2 linked regions of the Arabidopsis thaliana genome follow. The protein of the gene in region 2 interacts with the protein of the main gene of each other region in a pairwise test. Each region holds a gene or a part of one and is shown on either strand. Other genes may lie near its edges.

Region 1 (7,065 bases), 4.4 Mb from region 2:
TTTAACTATAGCAACAAACTTAACGCATGACTGGCAAACAATTGTTAAATAAGAAATGGATTAGGTTGATGGATGCTTATATATGAATAAAGTGGTAAATTTCCCAACTGGGTTCGACGCCCGTTGAGAAGAATCCGTTTTCCAAATATGATGAATTTAATAATTTGTTGTGGATCCCGCCTCTAGAAGATGTAAGACCTTCTTGCTTGAACTTTCAGATATTAAAAAAAAAAATGCTATGCTAATTATTATGACGCTAACACCATTTCCAAGAATTCATTTCAAAATACTTAATCCTACCTTCTAAACTCAAACTGATTTATAATTTGGTTTAAATGAATAATACTAACCCTTATCCTTATCTTATAAACTCAAACTGATAGGTAATTCTGTTTAAATGTATAACATCAAACCCTAACTACCTTATGAACCCAAACCAATACGTATTTTATTTAAATGTAAAACAATAAACCTTAATTCCTATTTATAAACTCAAACCATACGTAAATTCGTTTAAATATATAAAAATATATCTTAAAATCAAACGAACAAGGAACTATCCATATAAATAGGTGTCTAATCTACATTAATTCGTTTTTAAACATGTGTTCTATGCTAAATGGACACAAAATAGTTCAACTGAAATTGTATAAATCGTATGAGAAACTAAACAAATTAAGTTATGTCAGATGTTTTACCTCTTTCTCCCATCTTCTCAAAATTACGACAGAATTCAATATCCTTCTCCCATAGATAAGACCTTTTTAAGCCACAATCAACAAATTATCAACCAAGTAACAACACTTTATAAACACTAGTAGCATTAGATATGTGAAGATCTCAATCGTCTTAATTTCTAGTAACAACCACAAGCACAAAATCGATTTGAAAAGGAATCTGATCCGAAGCTGGAGGGGCAATATCATATCCAAAACATCCAATAGAACAAAACTTCAAAATACTCATAAACAAACACTGCAAAAAGTATTCAATTATGACCAAGTATGACATATTAATCAAAACTTTGAAATACACATAAACAAATGCAAATATGTGTCATACCTTTAGTGAGAACTTATGTTCCATAGCGCAAATGTTCCTTAATATTGTTCCAAAAATTATTTGTCTTCCAACATCATAATGATTTCGTTGACCCTCAAATCCGCATTAATTCATATTGTTCAACCTCCACATCTAATATCTCCCAACAACTCATTGAAATCTCTTTTTGACTTTCTATAAACTTACATAATAGTCAAACATTGCATTAACAACCCCATTCCAAAAGTCTAACCCTCCATTAAATCAACGGGAAAAATGTCAATTAATCCCCTAACTTTTAAAAAATGGCCATTTTATACATCAATTTCGTATGCGGCCGTTTAAAACATGAACTAAAAGTTGACTAACTTTTAAAACATGATTATTCGTTGACCAGGCCAAAAAAGACATGCCATTATCAGTCATTAACGGAACTTCTAACGTCCGTTATCATCCGTTAACAACTTTATTAGTCAAGTTATAAATTGTGGTCATTTTAAACATCGACTTTATATGTGGCCATTTTAAACATGAACTAAGCGTTGATTACCATTTAAAACATGAGAAATTCGTTGACCAAGCCAAAATAAACATGTTGTCATCATTCATTAAAAGAACTTATAACATTCATTATCACTTGTTAACGACTCTATTAGTATCCCTAAAACGACTTTGTTTTGAGAGTAATCAAAAGAAAATCAGGATTGTTTTCTAAATGAAACCCTACTTCCCCAAATCTATTTTTACAACCGCTCAAACAAGACGAACAATCTTATAATGAGTCTTCAATTTGCTTCCATGATTCCTTTTAAAATTTAAAACAAATATATAAACGAAAACACCTTTATTTGCTTCCAATTACTGGCACTGCGATTATCTCTTTATCAAACTATGTTCTTGGGTTCTGCTTAAAACTTTTTGATATGGAGATTTCATATGGAAAAAATCTTTATGTTCTTTCGATTATTCTTGAACGACGTTATTTTGGACAGATTAACAGTCATTAACGGGTTTCTAGGTTCTACTGATAAAGACATGTCTATTTTGGCCTGGTCAACGAATTTTTCATGTTTTAAATGGTATTCAACGTTTAATTCATGTTTTAAATAGCCACATAAGAAGTTGATGTTTAAAATGGCCACAATTTGAAACTTGACTAATAAAGTTAACGAATGATAACGGACGTTAGAAGTTCCGTTAATGACTGATAACGGCATGTCTATTTTGGCCTGGTCAACGAAAGATCATGTTTTAAAAATTAGTCAACGTTTAGTTCATGTTTTAAACGGCCACATATGAAATTGATGTATAAAATGGCCATTTTTTGAAAGTTGGGGGATTAAATGACATTTTTCCCCTAAATCAACCATCACAAATCATAACTAGATCAAACAGAGTAATGGTAACTTTACGAACCATATCATTAAATACATATGCCTACACATTTATATACCAATTACTTTGCTAAACATCATTTTCTTACATGACACCACTAAATATATCAAACAAGAAATTATGAAAATGTAGTAAGAATTTTTTCTTTCTCGGTAGTAAGATTAAAATCCATTCAAAAGACTACTAAAAAAAAATCTAAAACTAATTTTGTTATAGAAAAAAAATTACAAAACCAACCCCTCTATTTCTCAAAATATTACAAAACTACCAAACTAATTAATTCTTCAAGCCGAACCAAACACCAAACCACTCACGCTAGGAGTTACATGCTCCTGCATCGTGGACTGGTGATGACGGTGCTCTCCTTCGTACGTCACAATCAACATCGTTGAATCATCCAAAGCTCTTTCCACGTGTTTCCTCGCTGGACATCCTCTAAATGTACTACACTTGTAATAACCCCTGAAATCAACAAAAACAAATCACAACCGTTAGATCTCCAATGTTTCACAAATAAATCAACGGTGGATAGCGATGGTGTACGATAGTTACCGTGGATGTGGTGAGCCTTTGATCGGTTTTTGTCCATACTTTCTCCATGAATATTCGTCTGGTGGTATATCGGCGATCTTTGCACTTACCGCCGGTACTCTCACGGTTCTCTTCATCCGATTTTTTCGGCTGTTAATTAAATAATAAAACATTGTAATTAGTGAAATGATTTAACGTGCGCTGACACGACTAACGTGAACATGCATCAGGTTAGCAAAAGTCAACGGGCAGACAAAGACTTTTAAAACGTAAAAACTTTCCCTATACAAAACGACAGCACCCACTAACTTGTCCTTGTCAGGCGTGCACTTTGGTTTAAGTTACTGTCGTTGACTTTCACTAAATACATTGACCGATTGGTTTAGATAGTACCAAACCGGTCTACAAAGTATTAAACCCGGATTTTTATTCTTTATTTTTTACTGAGACTAGTTAATTTAACTAGTAGACTTGTTCATGATTGACAAATTCGAGGCAAAAAAAGAATTTTGAAATCTGAATTCGTGATATATTTTCACTGAGTCCGTGAGCGATTGGTTTAGACCGTATCGAACCAAACAATTAACTACTACTAGGCTAGTCAAACAAATGATTAATTTATTGTGGAGTAATAACAATACCTTTTCTTGCAATGGCACTTGCCGTTGCCGGAGCCAGAGATCTTGCCGGAAAAGCCTTCAGAGTGGTCATGTTCAAAGCATCTCTTCCTGTAAGGAAGACCAGAAAGCGGCGGTTTCCCGGAGGAAGTCACTGGCACCGCTGGAGCCGGAGCAAGAAAGATCGAAGAGCCTTTAGAGACACTTCCATCACCGGTGATCGCAGAAGACATGAAAGAAGAGTTAGAAGATACGCTAAAGCTCTCTTTAGCAAACTCAACAACCTCCGAGCTCTTGGTTTTAGCGCCAAAAACGCTCGGTCTAGTGAAATCTAACGTCACGCTTTGTTGATTTGCCTGAACGAAGCTAACCGGTGCTGGAGCAGAGATCTGAGTGGGAGCCGGAGTTGTCACTTTCACCGGTGGAGGAACGGAGGAGGAAGGAGGGGAATGAACCGGACCACGTCTAAACCGGGCGTGACCGGAACGGTTAAGAAGAGAGATAACTTTCTTGAACTTAGAAACTGTGAAATCAGTGATCTCAGAGCAATCAACGTTACGTTCTTCGGGACGGTTAGAGAGGACACGAATCAAGTGTTCCATGCTTTTTAAGCCTTGTGATGCAGCTTCTTGTATAGCCGTTTGATCTTCCATCTTAGGTAAACGCATAATATCAACGGTCATGATGAGAAACCAGAGGAGAAACTTGAAGATCTGAGAAGATGTGCAAGTTTTTTTTGATGAATGAGAGAGCGAAACTGGAAGAAAAAAGAATGGCGTTGGCGTGATATATGGGGTTATGGGTGTGACCGAGTGACCGGTTGAGTAGGTTTAAGATGGAGTTTAGTCAAATCGGTGCTTTAGATCTAACGGCTGAGATTGAGTTGAAGATTTCTATGGAATAAAGTAATCAAAGTTTGGTCTCCTTGAGTTGTGAGATATGTAGGGTCTTCTTTTGTGCAAAGCAAGAATTTATAATCGTGTCTTTAAAATAAAGGAATCATTGTGCGTAAACTTGAATTTGGGGAAAATGGTGGTAAAGGAATTTCAAAGAAACAAAAAGTCAAATAAAAAACATTAAAGGATGGTGTCTAAAGAAAATCATAAAGCTTTTTTAAAGTCTCATATCTATTTTTTCTTTTATTAGGTATCTTATGTCTTCAAGTTCAAGTCAATAAATTTAAAATTAAAGGTAATGAATTGTTTTTATTTGTATGAACAATTGGGCTGATTTTTTTTTGTTTCTTTGGAATATTAGAAGGTCTTTAACCAAAATCCATAATTTATTCTTGAACCAAATCAAAATATGTAATATTAATTTCATCTCAAATCACATATTTTTCTTTAATAGGACTGGATTTTGATAGAATAAATTTTCAGCTAATTGTAAAATGGTATTAATTTCTTTTGTGATTTTGACTTTTGATAATATATTTTATGTTTTTTTATTTTATTCGTGTTAAGTTTTAGGCGTTATTCATGTTCTTTTTATGTTTTTGTGTTATTTTTAGCTTCAACCAACACTACAACTTGTCAATATTATATGGTGCACACATACCAAACTCGTGTTTGCAGCATATTTTTATTATTTCAATTTCTTTCTAGAATTATTACTAATTTTGCAGTGCATTGACAATAATAATTATTTGAAAATAATATTTGACTCCCATATTAACTTTGCACCTAATATATATTTTTTTTTTCTTACCTCATAGCCTTCTAGAAAACGTCTTGACTGGAAAACTAGTAAATTGAAAACAATCTTTTCTTGACTTTTAATTTTACCTAATTAATCTACACAGATTGTGGAACAATTAACAATCATTAATAGAGATTAAAGGCTATAATAACAGCGACAATCGTTGACTATATCTTATTAGTATAGTCTACAAGTCTTTAGTTGAGAACAGCGATAAAGAAAAACGACAAAGTAGGAAAACAAAAGCTGACTACAAATAAAATAAAAGTGATCACATGGACGCATTTCTTTTTAAAACACAGAACTATTGACTACCTCGGTAACCGAGTGATTCCGGTTAACTATTATCTGGGCCGTTGATAATCCAAAAGTTAGATCCAACGGTGGATCTGTGAACTGTGGAGTTGACTCTTTGATATTATTCTCTTTAACTACTTTTTTTTTGAGAATCTAAAAAACACCTTTTACCACGGCAACTGATCTTCCGACACGTGGCAATTCTGGCTGACTCATAAATTGTCACCTGTCCACAAGATTCTTTTTTTTTTGTTGCTTATAGAAATAAAGTAAACAATACCAATACAGTTAGGAATGGAGGAAATTAAATGAATAAAAAGAGCCAATTTGCAGCTCGATCTAATCCTACTTGAGGAGATAATTTGAAGTTTTCTCTACATTTTTCTAAATAAGGTTTAATTGGTAAATTTTTAATCGCATTTATAAAATGGCATATAGATTTTAGAAGATTTATTACTAATCACCAAAGCAGAAACATGAGTAAATATTAACATTACTATAAATTACTTTTTAATCTTTTGTTTACTTTCAAACTTCAGTTAAAACAACTCTTTGTTTCAATACACCACCGTTTTCCGGTGATTTCAGTTTGTCGGAATATACATGTTTCGATAATTTTGGTATATGCAGTGTTTTCTTGTAGTTGTTATATGCAGTGTTTTCTTGTAATTATACTTATTCAAAAATTCCAAAGTTTTATCACTTGTAGAAGAAAATATCAACCATACTTACTTAGCTGAATTCTTTTAAGCCAAGAAGACTACATGAAAGAAAAAGAAAAAGAAAATTACGACGTGTTTTCTTTGTCAATGATATATGACGTGTTATGTGTGCAAAAACAGACCTCAAGATGTATAATTGAAACATTTTTAAATATTTGTCAACGGAATGCATTATAAATTAGCGACATGGGAATCGTTGACCTAACCGACTAATATATATGATTGTCGTGCACGTCTACATTTTTTTTAAAAGCATTTTATTTTTTCATTTCTGATTTTGTAAACTTTTACTTACTTTTAAATTCCTTTTCTATATCAAATTTTAATGTCCTTTTCTAAATTTATAATTTATGAATCTCTAAAAATATATTATACTATATATTTCAATGTTATCTCCTCTAAAAATGTCTCCTTTATATCTTATCTAAATTATCTTTTCTATAAAATGGTCGCATAGAAATAATAATCTTCGCGTATTTGAAATAATTGTTTTGTTAGCCCATGCAAAACGAATGAGATCAAACCAGTGAAAGAAGACACATGTTGGGTAAAATACTTATTTTGTATATGTTGTATCTATGAATTCATACGGTACTAACGAACGAAGTTTTATTTTTTTTTGTTTTTTTGTTGTTTACGTATTTCAAACTTCCAACCATTGTTTTTTTTTTTTATAATAGTACGGTCAATATTGAATTTTTAATTATTAGTTAGTGGATGATAGAAATAATGCACATTTGTTATCAGAAAAATACAATATATAA
Region 2 (7,864 bases):
GATTTGTATCCAGAGAACAGAGCCAATAACGAAGTTCAAGCTTATCAACCGCATAAAGAATTTGGCGGTGATGCTTTTGACTCTAACAATAGGGTGACTCATCGTGTTAGTCCTGCTAAACTTGAAAGAAACAGAACCAGACCAAGTGTCTTTAATAGGTTGGGTGGGCGTTTAAAACAACTTGATGCTGAAAGGGATACGTCTCCTGACACTGAATCAGTAGATGAGGTCATGGCCTTTTTAAATGACTGTCACAAAGATTGGATGGAGCAAAAAAGAGCAAATATGAGTAATTCTGAAGATGTTGCAATACCGAAGAAGAAAAAGGAAAAGATTCATACAGCAGAGGTACTTGACAATGATTTGATGCTTACTTTTACTGAGACTACTCCAGATGATCTGTTGGATTGTGAAGGAAGTATGGAACATAGTGTTCAAAAGCTACCATTCATTGATTTTAAGCGCCGTAGCAGAGCTCAAAGGAGCCTTGGTAATCCAACTCAAGGGTGTAAAGACAACCCCGAACATTCAGCTTCTCCGAACAAGAAAAGGAAGCTGCTGAGACCAAAACTCGTTGAAGATGACTCAGAAAAGGATAGAGAAAACAAAGCTGGTCCTATTAAAATTGTCTTGGCCTCAGAAAAAGATAGAGGAAACAATGATCTGACTGTAAAAGTCTTGGCCTCACAGTCACCTACTAAAGTCCATGTCCATGACTTCCTTGGACGTAATGAAGGCGACTCGCAAATGGATAGAGGTAGGAATGATAATCCTATTGAAACTGTCTTGGCCTCACAGTCAGCTACTGAAGTCCCCGTCCATGACTTCCTTGGACGTAATGAATGTGACTCGCAAAAGGATGATAATCCTGTTGAAAATTTATTGGCCTCACAGTCAGCTACTGAAGTCCACGTCCGTGACTTCTTTGGACGTAATGAAGATGACTCGGAAAAGAATAAAGGAAACAATAATGATCCTGCTGAAAATTTCTTGGCCTTAGAGTATGCTTCTGAAGTCCCCTTCCATGACTTCCTTGGACGTGATGAACGATAAACACTCAACTGGAGTTGGAAACACTTACGAACAGAACAAGGCCTCTTCAAGGATGCTTCTACAATAGAAGGTGAGGGTGTTCTCTAGCTGTTGTGTCATTTTGGTGGAGTAAGTGTCTTCTTAATCATGTTGACTGTACTATATATAGTACTGTCATAGAACAATGCCTACATACTTTGGCAGTACAGCCGTTTTGAGGTAGTTGTGGAGTTTTATGCTAATGTCAAAGCATGTGTTTGGTTCAGAAACTTTGTCAAGTGAATCTTGACAGCTAGTAATACCTAGATTTTGTAGTCTTAAACAATCAAATGCATAGAATCGACTAGGCAAGGAAAAGATAAACCATATACAGGTTTCCCCAAGCTTCAAGCTCAAGGCTTTGGTGAAAAGAGGTAACAAACATGATAGTCTCTAATTCATAGCGTTTGGTCCAAAGCATCTGTTCCTATTAAGATCCCAAACCCATTGAATTAGATACTTTCTTCCTTTAACGCCCTTCACATTATACACATTCCTCCACCTATCCTTATACACACTTCCCATATAGCCTCCTCCTCCTCCTGACCCATACACTCCCAAACATAAATCCGCTATCTCTGTCGGTGCTGTCGCGTCCTCTCCTCCATACCATCCGTTTAACATCGGGTTACTCGACACTTCTGCCAGCTCATGAGCTATCACACTGATCATCCCATCGATTCCTACCTCTCCATTTGGCGGTTTCATCTTCTCTCTGGCTACAAACCCGCTCCCCGGAAATGGCTTAGGCTGTGCAAATGGGTACGCACACATTTCTGGACACTGTCTCTCACTGTTGCCCACCCAAGCATACGGTACGGTTGCACCCACAACGCTTGGGAAAGTGAAGTAATGAAACCCGCAAATCGCTCTGCAGAACTCTTGCATCTCTACATCATCCGAGGTCAAGACTAAGTACAAGCCGTTTACAGCGTTTAGTGGTAACTTGGAAGTCAAGGCAGTTCTGATCACAGACTGAACAGAGAAGCGAGTGAGATGAGATCCATGAGAGTACGTTGAGTCGTGGAACTCTCCGGATAAGACAAGAGTGTCGGTGATGTTGGAACCTGTCTGGTCTCTGTATAGCCTCACTGTCTTCCACCAGTTGGATACTGACGGGTACTGAGCCGGTGCCGGTGCAGAGACAGAGTAGAGAAAGTCTCGGATTATAGATTGGTGAGTTGGGTTCCATCGGCCGTACCAAATGATGTAGAGACTCGTCACCGGCGAGGATATGACCGGACCCAAGTGGTATTGAAGGTCAACGAGATCGGAGGAGCCTTCATAGTTCTTGCTCTCGTCGAAGAACTGTCCATTGGATGTGAGCAAGAGTGAGAAGAAGAAGAAGACGATGATGAGAGACATCGTCTCGGTGGGTTTATGATTTGCTTAGTGGGAACGTTGGAAATCTTATTATAGGGAGTGGAGTGATTACTTTTCATTAGTTTATTTTGGTAAAGTAAATTTCTATTTCAAGTTTTAACTACCCACCAAAAAGTTTTCACCAACTTAAAAATTTGTGAAGATAATCCATAAATGGTACAATTTGCATCAAAATGACTAGAAATGACATAAAGAAATGTAAATAGTTTTAAAAGTTGAAGAGGTTAAATTAGAAATGAACTGCAATATTTCTATTTATTTCATAAGGTAGTTTTGATTTGTACATGTAATTATATGTTTTCACAGAAGATGTCGGTTAAGTACAACTTTTGAGCTTGATTGGTGGAACTGTTAAGGCCCTTGACCAAAAAGCATGTTTACCTCTAATGATTTCTCTTGTCAAAATAGATTCGTGAAAGCTAATGAAAAGTAGTAAAAGGGTAAAATCATAATTGCATAAAATTTTATAAGACCCAATTACGAAAGTTAGAGAAGTTTCTCTTGTTAACCAGAAACACTGAATTAAGCATTGACATAAAGATATTTTTACTCTTGTATGTAATATTTACCATCTACTATTTCAATAATTGCACTCATCGCTAGTCACTTTATCTTAGTGCCAGTGGAAAGTTGTCACACATTGAGCTGCTTCTATTAAGGTTTGGTTCTTTAGTTTTTAAAAAGACAAAACTTTTTCCCCTATGGATTGATTCACTCCTTTTAACGAGGGCTCTTTCTCCAGATTCATGAGTCAAAATTAAAAACTCTAAATCTTCACCGGTTTATTGTCCCATTTGGGTTTTAGTGATTACCTTTAAATTTCATCAAACTTAAGCTTATACAATTTTGCTACAGAACTTGGTCCCGATACGTCTATTGTCCGCAAAGAATAATAATACTATGCACAACTACGACATAAAATTTCGGGGGTTTAATCAAATCGCCATCAAACCAATCTAAACCCGGAAACTGGTATAAGAGATCAATTTCCTGGTTCAGCTAAAAAAACTTTGGCTTCTTTAGTTTGGGCTCACCTAGATGCAACGATATGTTAACCTCTTCTTCGGAACTGTTCTTTAAAGCCATGAGATTATCCAATTTGGGTATCTCTTGCCCTTTAATGGCGGAAGTAGACTCGTTAACCGATATAGGAGCAATGAAGATATGTTCCTCAACTTCAAGTGTTGGTTTGATTGCTTCTTCTATATGGAACTCAGGCGGAATAAATGGCTCAAAGCTCTCATCTTGTTTGTCTCCTGATGGAACCGGGTCAGGCGGGGATGACTGGCTAACGGTTGAATCAAGGGCTGTAACCGAAGTGTTTCTTTCTTCTCGTGCTGCTGCTGCTGCTGCAAGTGTACAAAAGTCAAAAGAACAAGTCATGAGAACTTGGGAACCATTGTCATACAAGTGCTAGGAAAAGAGTTCTAAAACCTTCAAGTTCATGGTTGGATGTGATGAGATCAAGCTCCAAGAGATCCAAAAGGCGACCAAGATCAACTCCGCTTGTCCAGTTCTCGGGTTCTTGACCGGCTATTAGTTTAAGTCTTCCTCGGTTGGCTGTTCCTCCCCAAATGATCCCAACTGGTCGTGGCTTCTGACCATTTGGACCCGTTAAGAGTATTAGGCTTCCACTGTCACCTTCAAGGTCAAAAGTTTGCTGGTTTTCACCAATGACCAGAAAATCCGTGAGGAAACAGATCCCTTTCTCGTCGTTGTATTCCAATGCATAAGCCATTATGGTTCCGGTGGTATATCCAGAGCTTCTTCCAACTTTGACAACTTGTTTCCCAATAAGGCTATCAATTGGGGATTGCAAGTCTATAACGTGCACATCTCCTATCTCACCAATGCCCTTTATCAACGTAGTTACATTGCTCGTGTTGAAATCTTCTGCAAAAGGAATAAAGGCACCATCCGCTCTCACAAACGTTTCTGCATTGGGATAGATATGAAAGATGCCCTGTATAGTCAGTACTCAGTATGAAACAAGAGTGTCCAAATATGCCAGTTCCTGAACAGAAAGATGCAGAGATTTGCTATGAAATTATAACTGGAGTACCTGGATTTGTGCCAGCAAATATGCCATACCACTGATCATCTGTGATAAACGATGTTGCTCTCTCAACTGCACCGAGGTAGACACCCGGTCCAAGGCTTGGAGGTAAAGGATGAAACATTTTCTGGCTTGGATAATCCAAATCAACTGCGACATGCCGATTGGTAAGGAAACCAACCTGGTGGTTACCTGTTCTGCTTTTCACTATAGCTCCCAAGGTTCCATATGTTTCTTGGCTTGCAACCTACACAACATGAAACAAAACTGAGACTTTACGCTTATAGGTTGCAGAAGATGGAAGGAAAAAACAACGATGTACCTGAGAACCAGAGCCAATGCAGGGATCACTTCCTCTCAAACCATCTACAAGTTCATTATAAACTTGTTCCTTTGGTGTTGCAGCAGGAGCACCGTAGTATTGGAATTCCACAACATCTACATCGCACCATACCCCTCCAGGACCCTATTATGAAATGAACACATCGCTTATCATATATGCTCCGATAAAATTTCTGAAAGGCTATGTGTAGAAGGGAATAGAACACAAGATAACTCCACCTCAAGGGCAGAAGGAAGGCACTGCATTGGATTTAGCCATTGCCTATGGACTTTCCTAGCAACAAAGACAAGTATCGCTGGAACATTCGTTAGAACACCACGGCTGATCCGAAACCCAACCGCAGTACCAAGGCTGAAGCGGCGCAGGATTTTACTATGAAACGCTCTGATGGTCATGAGCTCAAGCAAAGTAGTGGCTTGTTGTCCTGATGGCAACCTGCCAACAGTTTCTGGTAAAACCCCTTTCTGGAGATTACCAAAGTAGTTAGCTCGGTCTTCAACAGTGTCGTTAAGCCTGCTGAGCGTAGGCCAGGAGAAGTAAGGGGCATTGCTCTCAGCATGTTGGATGTTGAGTGTGAATGGCTGAAGAGGAGATGGACTTGAAGATGATGGAAGACTCAAGTGATTGCAGTGATGATTTCTCTCCAAATCCAAAGCAGAATCCTCCGATTCAGAAGAAGCTGCTGCTTGGATGAATCTCTGACCCCAAGCTCCCAAATTCATCTCCTTTTACAATGCTACTTATTAAAGATAACACCACCGTACCTTTTTCACCTCTGTCACAACGCAAAACAAGAGATAGAAGAGACTTCAGCTTCCTAAATTACAACACTTGAACTGATGATATAAACTTAAAAATGGCATCTTTGATTCTTTATAAGAGAAAAATCATCCCAAACTTCGTTTATGAACCCTACAAGTCAAGTAACCTATAGAATTACCTTGAAATTTTCAAATTACAATCGGAAAACAAGATGATACGCAACGCCTCAAAAGAAGGAAGAAAACATAAACGAACCCAGAATCTAACATCATGTAAGAAGCCTAAAGAAATCAACTTTGAGATAATCCAGCGAAGATTCTCGAAGGCGCGAAAAACTCACCGACAGCACAATTCGTCGGAGTAGCTGCGAGAACTTCATGGAGAAATGGGAGCTAAGACGGAGAATCAGCAGTGATGAAAGAGAAGTAGCTGCATTTAGAGAGATGGGGAGAGAGAGAAAGTGAGGATTGCAGAGAAAACTGGAGGAGGAAGAAGAAGAAGAAGACCAGAGAGAGAAGAGCAATAGGAGCTGCATAATAATCTGGAGTTACTGTTGATGGTGGTTGTGAATACAGTAGAGCGAGAATTATCTTCCTTTTTCTTTGTTTTGTCGACGCATGAATTAATTTATCACATTATAATGTCAACCAATACAAATCTCTTTTTAAATTGTTTTTCTTCTACTACTTTATAAGTTCTTTTTGCTTTTATCTTATTATTTTATCTCTTTTTAGATTTTGATTACAGAAATTATGGAAAAGGACAAAAATAAGGATTTTATTTGTTAGTTAAATGAGAAATTACTAAATTAATATAATATAAGTACGAAAAAATAGAATGAAAAATGCATCAACTCACTATGATTTATTCAGATTTTATGATTTATTTTTAGCGTAATATGTTCTTCATTTAAGGTTAAACGATTATAATAGAAAATAGTATATCGAACTTTTTTGATATAGAAGCCGAACGGGTGATAACGTAAAACAAACAAAACGATTAAAAAGATAGAAAATAAATAATGTTAGAAATAATGTCGAGAAAACCAAACATAAATTAATCCGGAGAAAAATCTAAAGATTTATGATATTTTCAAAAGTTGTTTTTTAATAAAAATAGTATTCATTAAAACCCTAGATCATGCAACATTGAATCACATATACTTAAACTTTTGTTTTCCTATATTATTCTGGAGATCATTATTTAGAAACTTCTAAAAGAAAAGAATAGAAGATTTTTAGAATATTTTCAAATATTACTTTTCCAAAAAATATTACTTAATAAAACTACCAAATCTCTAGATTTATAATATTTTCAAAGATTATATTTCCAAAAAAAAACATTCATAGATCCACTAAAAAAGCTTTGATCAACAAAAAAAAAAAAAAAAGAGATCCACTAAAACCCTAAATCATCATCAATATAAATTAATCTTGATGAACTTGTATAAAATAGGAATTGAAGAAGTTATAGAGCCAGAGCCAAAGATGCATGCTAGGACTCTGTTCATAAGAATTATGTGAGTGACTTATTTGACTGAGTTATTAAAAATTGAATCCTTGAAAAGAGAAAACAGAATTTAATTAAAATTGATTGTTTAGTTTTGTTTTGCAGGACAATGCCAAATTAACCCAATTTGAGTAGGCGACTCACATATCTCCCGCTCCGGCCAATCGACTCGTCATCTCCGCCATTATCACTACTCCTTCCTTCATTTCTGGTAAATCTTTGTACCCTTCTTCTCTATTCTTCATTCTTTTATTTTTTGTTACTTGTAGACTCGAAATTGATCTTATCAATCGCTTCCATCTCTCGATTGATTAACAATTTTAAAAGTTGATAATTTCGAGATTTGGAGTCTGTTTCTGGAAAATGTGGATAAGGATTTCTTATGATTCATGGATTAATGCGTACTGATTCGTTCACATGTTACTCAAAACTGTATCATGGGTTTTGAAGATCTGCATGTCTTCTTTTGTTGGTTAATTGTGATGATGAACTTAGATCATCATAACATGCATTGCCAAAGATATTCAATTTAATTGATTGCAATCTTTTCTAATCAATACGCGTTCTTGTAACTACTAGGAATCTAGGATGGTGTTTTTTAATTAATATGCTTTGTTGTAACTTACTAGGATGGTGTTTTTAGTTCATATTCTTGTATTACATTGAGTAGGCGTTGGGCATCATGGTACATTCAGAGTCATCAATACTTAGTTCCTTGCGCGGTGGTGATGGCGGTGGTA

The links.
Region 1: the proteins of AT2G35155 (region 2) and WRKY17 interact in a two-hybrid assay, tested with the Arabidopsis thaliana proteins (one large-scale study listed by BioGRID).

The regions. Positions count from the first base shown.
Region 1 is NC_003071.7:10,434,956-10,442,020, forward strand, and holds WRKY17 (WRKY DNA-binding protein 17), read right to left. Parts: upstream 4,515-7,065; 5' UTR 4,268-4,514; coding exon 3,609-4,267; intron 3,118-3,608; coding exon 2,989-3,117; intron 2,899-2,988; coding exon 2,721-2,898; 3' UTR 2,398-2,720; downstream 1-2,397.
Region 2 is NC_003071.7:14,815,756-14,823,619, forward strand, and holds AT2G35155 (Trypsin family protein), read right to left. Parts: upstream 6,268-7,864; 5' UTR 5,956-6,267; exon of another isoform or gene 5,794-5,955; intron 5,629-5,793; 5' UTR 5,576-5,628; coding exon 5,072-5,575; intron 4,977-5,071; coding exon 4,833-4,976; intron 4,758-4,832; coding exon 4,517-4,757; intron 4,390-4,516; coding exon 3,889-4,389; intron 3,804-3,888; coding exon 3,454-3,803; 3' UTR 3,211-3,453; downstream 1-3,210. Other genes in the region: AT2G35140 (DCD (Development and Cell Death) domain protein), read left to right, coding at 1-1,053; EXL7 (EXORDIUM like 7), read right to left, coding at 1,465-2,436; SUVH5 (SU(VAR)3-9 homolog 5), read left to right, coding at 7,807-7,864.